2 linked regions of the Bombyx mori genome follow. The protein of the gene in region 1 interacts with the protein of each later gene in a biochemical or structural test. Links are inferred from orthologs where the notes say so. Each region holds a gene or a part of one and is shown on either strand. Other genes may lie near its edges. The genes, in order: dynamin-1-like protein and mitochondrial fission 1 protein.

Region 1 (3,836 bases):
GCCTTTGGTACAGAGTCCTGAATGGATTTCCGGACGATGTAGAAATAAGACTTGATCAGTCTCTCTGAAAAAGAAAAAAAAAGTTTTTTGTTTATTATTATTATTATATACAGTAAAGTCGGAAATATTATAATATATTTTTGCATTATGTTACACATTGTGTTAGGCATTGTACAACATCGCAACCAAATGTAATAATGGATTAATGAGAAATATAATCCTTCATAGAATACATGTACTTAAAATAGTACCACTTTTTAAACAGTGTATGAACGCGGTCTTATAATAATCGAGTTAGTAAATCGAGTGCAACCGATGAAAGAGGTGATTTATTGGTGACTTGTAAGCACATTTTTAGCTAGACAACAACTCCGGATTTAATTATCCAACAGCATTGTGTAAATTTTCCTCCAGTTTTCGAGAAAACAAATTATAATTTAAACTACTTTTTCGGTTTGAGCTCGCGTTAATTATCTCCGACATTTTGAATATTTTGATAGTTTTTGTCGTCACACGAACTGAGGCGTTATTCGCGATATTTGAAACTTCGGGAAAAATCAAATCTAAATAATAAACGTGTGGTTAACCAACCGCAACAGTAGTTTTAATTAAGCATTGTTTAGTTGAGAATTTTATCTAAAGCTTCAATCTAGTTTGTTGTGGTGCATGTACAATAGTAGGATAGTTACTCTTGCGTTTATTAAAATTTCTGATGTACATATTATTATTAGCACCTTGTTTTTAATCATATTTGCTATTGTAAATACTATTATGTTCTAAAGTTCAAAAAAGGCTGTTGAACATTAAGCGGGTGAGTACAGAAACTGGATGAGTATTCAACTTATACGCCACTATTTTTTAATTACCAAAACTAGTATTATATGCCTCCGATATTAAATAAAACTAAGATTATTTAGAAAGATAAATCGATATAAAAACCCATATAAGCAAAAAAAGTCAGGTATACGTAGATCAAATATTAACAAGGGCTATAAATTCAATCGCCGTTGCATTCATAAATCGCAGGGCACCGAAACCCGGATTTTCATTGAAGATGTTTATCTCCGAGATCTTTGCCATGTTTTTTTTTCAGTTTTATAAATCATTGCTTTAAATTATTAAACTATTATACATAATCGAAAAGAGTCCTTTTTGCATTGGCTGTTAATTTAATTTTGGTAATTAAAGATTAGTGGTGCATGAATATGACTTTAGTGATACACAAAACGAAGCCTAAGGCGTTAGGAGTGACTGCAGATTCTTACCATAGAATTTACCAACTTAATAGAATGATCTATTTATTTTAACACTTGCTACAACTTTTCAACATGTAGATGTCTCTAAGGTCAATGTTTATGATCATTATTGGACATTCTAAATGTATAATATTTGGTTATAACGTAAACCAAATTTAAAAACACAAAATACATTTATGATTATTTTTCCTTTAAACAACAATGTGATAATCACAATCTGTATAAAAATATATATAAACCATACTAGTATATGACATCAAGCAAAAACCATTACACAACACAAGAAAATTAGAATAAATATATATCTTAGTTTGTGTCACTTTTAGCTGAACATCACAGCATAGATAAAAAACGATATAGATAAAGTATTGTTTATGGCCATATTTTTTGAGTTTATTAGTATAACCTGTGGTCACTCCGACCGCTACTCAGATGATAGGTGGTCGGAAGGCTAGAGATAGCTATGAGTAAACAAAGCATAGATGCCGGTGTATCTACGGACTAGCCTCACCAACTAAATCACCCATTTGATTCAGTTGCATCACGTTGATGCCGTCTACTGTCTTTACGTTACTGTTTAAGACTGTTGTGTTGTCGCTCCGTCCACCTAGCATCACAACAAAATTGAATCTCTAATCTTATGGGATGAATATTAAGAAAACATAAGAGCATACGAGCCCACGGCCCATCTGCAGGTTAAATCCATAGACAACAAGTATGCCACCTGTTATTGAACCGAGATATGAGGTTGAAGTTTAAAGTTTTGATATAACGGCTATATCTATAACTCAAACCGGAATTATATGACAGATTCGATACTATGTTTCTGTTAGATAGTTAGTCTCATGAAAATACCTTGTTTAAAAAAATTGTTAATACGAAATTTATGGTACCAATACCAATGATTTAAATTAGATTCTATTTTAGTTATTAAAAATTATAAAATCAATGAACAAATTTCCCATAAAAAGTAAAATTACCAAAAAATTCAGTGGTTATACATTAAATTATAATTAGATTTTATAATTAAAAATGTTACTTAAAAACACTAGAGCAGCTGATATTAATATTGTACACTACACCCACCTATGACGTCACAGTCGTGTTGTTCACGTTCTGACAGTTTACGTGATGTTTGGATCGGTACTTCGGGCAGAAGGTTCACTGGCTTCTGAGGAGTCAGTGCCTTGTTGTCTGGCATTCCGTTGATCTTTAACAACAACCAAAAAAAAAATACTATACGATTTATCCAATACAAAATTCAAATACTTTCCTTTGACAAACTAGTTGAATTAGACATTTAAAAACCCCAAAGTTTAACAGTTTATTACAGTTACCAAACTAGCCTTGACCTATTCAACATAATTTAACTATATTGTCTACAAATAATGTAGGATAATTTATGTGATTTTTATGTTATTTACATACCTGTGGGGTCGACGGTGTTTCGCTGATGTTTTGTGGAGATTTCTCGTGACCATCGGTTATAGCGGGAACATTCTGTAATATTTGTAATCTTTGTTTTATAACCAATTGAAAATATTGTAGAACTCATTTGTAACGTGTACAGTTTAAGTCTCAAAGAAAACAATGAACTCAATGTGTATTTACAGAGAGACAAACGATTGCTACAATCTATAAAGCGAATGAATAGATAAATATGAAATTATTTCATTTGTTTTTCGATTAATTCATTATCGCTGACAATCAATCGGGTGTAAAATTATGCGTCACTGTAACGAGGTAATTATTGTGGCAGATACGATTACTTCACTTGAAAATCCTTTTCATTGGAACCTAGATATAGTATTTTATGCCCTTTGAGCCTTGTCTAGAATTAGTTTGGGACCGTCGCTTAAAATTTTTATTAATATTTACAGAATTATATTTTTGTGCATAAAATAAAAATCATGTCTCAAGATTATGCCATTATACATTTCGTGATGTCTTTGGACTCTGAAAATTCCTTTGCATTAGGTATGGAGTAATAGAAAAAAAATATATTATTCTTTTAATTATATATTTATATCATATGGGGCCGTGCAGGCTCTACTTGGAAGAGGAAATGCCACGACCGGGACTTATGGCAGGGTTTGGGGGAGGGAGGCCTATGCGAAAGCAAAACAATCTTTGCCGATGTTAAATGTTAGAAAAATTACATTAATAGTATGTACCTAAATATGAATTAAGATTGTTAATATGGGGAGCTAGACTGAACTTTAAAGTAAAAAATGACTAATCAAATATTCCGATTGTTTCTACTGACAATCGCTCATAGGTCGACTTCACTGTGATCATGAAAAAGAGTCCATACAGTATTCAAATGGCACGACATCGAACGTCACAACACAAGTTTAGTAGGACAATGAATCGAGAATGAGTGAGGCGAGTTAATGGCGACCCGAATATAACCACGCCACAATTACCTTGTACGCGTCCAATACGCTTGCCAAGAATACTAGGGCGGACCCTCTTTCACCCATTTGTCGGAGAAACAGCTACAAAAATTTCGAGATAGTAATTTATATAACCTTAACATATCGTTTAGATGAGGGCCGTCCAAATTACATACCTTTGCGG
Region 2 (4,435 bases), on another chromosome or scaffold:
TTTATTGCTGATTGGTTATGAACAAGTAGCATTTAATAACTATGGTTAATGGAATGATGAGTGGTGAGTGGACCGCCAGAAGAGCACTTAGGATAACTAGAAATACCTAAATAGTAGAAGCTTGAGGTGAGGGCTTAATGCGTAGCTGGAGAGAAATTTACTACATTAACTTTTACCAAATTTCTTTTTCAATTTTTTTTCTTTGTCAAAAAAGGTTCACTACTCACTATTTCTTGAACCAGTATTAAGGGCTTATATACGATTATATATTATTTATTGTGATATATTTTGCTTTAAGACAATAGTTCTACAGAACTGCTGTGGGACAGTATTTATGGTTGTTGGTGTATCCCCTCCCAACCCAGTAGGCCAGTTTTGGTTTAACAGGATATTCCGTGTCATCAGCGGCTCTGAGCGGGGCCGACGTAAAGTTGTCGGCTGTCGCCTCGGCAACCTTTCGGTCAGACGTCCTAAGGGTGGCCTGGCCATTCTTGTATTGTTCATCACTAGTACCTCCCTATTCTGACTGGGTCTGACTCCAGGCGGAGATCAAACGAGGGGTGAAATATGCTAGGGGACTCGTTTGGCCCTACCACAATCTCATATGAAGTTCAGCGGACAGCCCAAAAAAAAACACATATACATACTCATATCTTCAGACTTATTGCCAAACTGACTAATGTCATTATTTATCTTCAAATGTAAGATTTCTCATGTATCTACTCTACTATTCTGCCATTCGAACTTATGTTATTATAGCTGATCTTACCTCTAATGCCAATACTTGCTGATTAGCGGGTTCAATCTCGAGGAATGATTTCACATAATGCAAAGCCTTATTGTACTCCTTTATTCTGGCATTACCAATGGCAAGGTAGAAAAGGTAGTCACGTTTGCCTTCAGGATGAGAGTTGAACAATTCTTTAAGAAGTAAGATTCCCTGTAAAGTATACTCATCTTAGAACTTCTGAAGACTTGAAATGTTTAAGCGTGCTTTGTAGTTCCAGCTGTCAAGTAAATTATACATTCTTTTCTGCTTTTACTTGATGCTTAAAAGATTAAAACTTAAGACAAAACAATAAAAAAATTAATGATTTGAATTCATTATCTTATTAACAAAAGTCCGAAAGGAGGTAATTGTTTTCTTAAATGTTTTCCCTAATCATTGGTAGCCCAAGGGGCTATTCCAACTATGCTCAGACTGGTAAATATATATCATAATGTAAACTTTGCCATCCTGACTTTAAGATAAGTCTCAATTATTTTGTGTAAGGGTTGTCTCACCTTTCAAACCAGAAAACATGACTATTATGTGGCAGTAATAGACAAAATAGTGTTGACTACCAGTGTGAACATTAATTATACACAGTATTCCCTGTTACCAGTAGTTATTAAGCAAGTTGTGGAATAATAATTGGTTTTTAGTTAAATATGTAATATAATTTCTTTGCCTTGGAAGTCAGTCCTTAAAAAACTTGCACATGCCTATGAGACTTTAACACTAAAATTGTAACATCCCTTGAAACATGTACACTGCAGACTCATCCTTTAAGCCATGATGAGTTCCATTTATTTTTAATTATCAATCTCATGTGTCCATTGGAATACACATTCAAAATAATAAAAACACTTAACTAACAGGAAATGAAATGAATGGTTTAAAAATATCAGAAACAACAATCGTTTCTTCTAATGTAGTGATATTCAGTGCTATAGTCGGATTTTTAATTAGACGAAGCTAGCTGACAGTAGCTAATGTCACTTTGTGAAATAATGTTGCTATATTTAAAGTAATAGTGATGCGTTCAGTTCTCGTTCAATCACAAATGAACAATGAGTGTGAAGAGTTAATCATTAATTTCAAACTATAAAAGAGTATTATTTATATTTTACAATAAAATTGTATTAAAGTGCTCCAATATATGTTGCTAATAGTATGTAACTACAATCAGCTTTTTTTATTTTCATTACCTACCTATAATTGTTATATTTTATACATCTATAATTTCAACTACATGATGTATTGGAAATATGACAGTCTTACAAGCTTCCTCGCAGTGTTTTTCTTAATTAAAACACTCGGTATTCAGTACAGGTAGATACTATAGGAACATAATATTTCGTCGAAAACTCGTTGGTATGTACAAAGCACGCCTAAAATTCGAAACCCGTACCCGATATCGGCAATTCGGCACACCAACTGTTCACTAGACAATCGAGGCAATTTTATTAATTCAGGAGTTTTTTCAATCGTTCACTTTGTCACAACATTATTTTTATTTCATCAAAAACTGACAACACAGTAAACGTCAGTTGACTTCGTCTAATAAAAAATCCGACTATAGTATTCTATATTAAGTATATTTGTATTAAATATTTAGATATCTTAATGTTTAAATATATAAATATGGCTTTGTTTAGCAAATTTGGCAAAAACAAGTCAAGTTGATGATATGCATAATATTCTGACATACCACTGTAATGAGATCTGTAAAATTGACGTCAGTTTTTATACTATGTATTTGTAAATAAATGTACCTTTCGTATATCCGTTGGATACTTGCTGCGCACTAAACACCATGCGTATTCAAACTGGGCTTTGTGGGAAACGTTCCCTTGATGCAATTGTTCATGAAAGACCCTCTCGAATTTCTACAAAAAAAAAAACAAACAAAGATTTATGAACAATTGTAAATTTATTTGTGAGTCACTATCAACAACAAAGTTTTAATCGTTACTTGCAAATCTTCCGATGAAACAATCTCGTCTAATACGTCTTCCATTGTAGCCGGTTACTATAAATGATAACTTTGATTAGATATTTAACGTTTACAAAAAGAAAAATAGGTGTACCGTGTAAGGTTTATTACGAGAAATTGGTAGATTTGCAATGCAGAATAAATGGAATTATGGATTGTTTGACAATTTTGACATTGAATGTTTGACATCGTTCATGATGATTCAGTGGCACTTAAGTTTTTCCAGGTTAAGAAAGGCAAAAACATCCGACCACACAGTATATTTCGAAATAATTTAGGTACTGAAAAAGTTAGAAAGTACATTTACTTAGTATTATAAAAAAGACCTAGTAACAAAGCCAAAGGGATTAAAAGTCTTTATAGAAAAGACTAAAGTCATATCTCGCTACAATTTTTCAAGCAAATGATTTTTTTTCTCTATTTATTCGTTGGTAGCTTAAGAAGCTATTCCCGACGGCTAGGTAAGCTCACAAACTCGACCTGAAAGAATTTGCTACCACTAGTCCTACTAGAGTAGGCTTCGCATAATCTACTTGCGTGTGGCACCGTTTTGTTGAATAACGCTCTGACCTTCTGACGCTTCCATAAGATATTTACGAATCGGTACTAAATTTAGATCGTCGTGAAGATTTACATTCCTCACATACCACGACGCTCTGACGGCTATCCTGCAGAAACAAGATTGGATGACCTGGAGAGAGTTAACGTGTGTACGGGCCGCATGACATGACATGAGCGAAAACCTAACGATACGAATACCACAGGCAACACACGCATAGGTACAATGTTCGAGATCCCTGCAGCAAAAGTGTCACTGCTTAAACTGAATTAAAATTACAGACAGAGATTAAGTTTAAAACATAGAGTTACTATACTTATTAACTCCATGGTTTAAAATCTATGGTACATACGGTAACCATAGATTATACACTTAATATATTCGAGAACGGTAACCACCGAACGAGAAAACACTTGAACAAAGAATTAAATCAAATCAAATTGAATTGTCAAATTTGGTCAAATTGATAAGTTCTTTTGTGGGCCGGCAATTGCTAGGTATACGTAGTAGATAGTGTAAAAGACAGCTCATAGTTTTTTTAACAACCCATAATCCTATTAGGGACATCACAATGCAAAGTGTAATAAACACAGTAAAGGGAACTGCTCTTGGCGTGGCCGGTTACTTGACACCGGTGTTGAAGGTACGTTTATCACGATCATTATTAATTACATACATATTGAAATTACTCATTATATATATGAATCGGTGACTGACCGAACATATTGATAATCTTTTTACCCTGTAAAAATAAATATTTATTTCTATGCTTCATATTTATTTAAAATGTAATATTCTGTAGTGAGTGTCTCACAATTTGAACGGTAATTCCAGAATATGGGGATTTGAGGATCATTTGCAAGTCAATTAGGTTACTAAGAAATTTGAAAACAAACCAAAGGCTTATTTATATTAACTTCACTTATTTCTAGGAATCGAAATTTCAAGAAACTGGTGTACTGACTCCTGAAGAGTTTGTAGCTGCTGGTGACCACCTGGTACACCACTGCCCTACCTGGCAGTGGGCAAAGGGAGAGGAAGCTAAGATTAGGCCTTACCTTCCTGCAGACAAACAATTCCTTATAACTCGAAATGTGCCATGCTACAGACGATGTAA

The links.
Region 2: the proteins of dynamin-1-like protein (region 1) and mitochondrial fission 1 protein form a complex in vitro, tested with the Homo sapiens proteins (2 studies listed by BioGRID). The link is inferred for Bombyx mori from reciprocal best matches to the Homo sapiens genes DNM1L and FIS1.

The regions. Positions count from the first base shown.
Region 1 is NC_085119.1:10,593,589-10,597,424, forward strand, and holds part of dynamin-1-like protein, read right to left. Parts: intron 3,755-3,836; coding exon 3,683-3,754; intron 2,757-3,682; coding exon 2,685-2,756; intron 2,467-2,684; coding exon 2,343-2,466; intron 1,864-2,342; coding exon 1,768-1,863; intron 65-1,767; coding exon 1-64. UniProt on the Homo sapiens protein: Functions in mitochondrial and peroxisomal division.
Region 2 is NC_085110.1:17,564,057-17,568,491, reverse strand, and holds the start of mitochondrial fission 1 protein, read right to left. Parts: upstream 2,965-4,435; 5' UTR 2,784-2,964; coding exon 2,739-2,783; intron 2,653-2,738; coding exon 2,539-2,652; intron 941-2,538; coding exon 770-940; intron 1-769. UniProt on the Homo sapiens protein: Involved in the fragmentation of the mitochondrial network and its perinuclear clustering. Plays a minor role in the recruitment and association of the fission mediator dynamin-related protein 1 (DNM1L) to the mitochondrial surface and mitochondrial fission.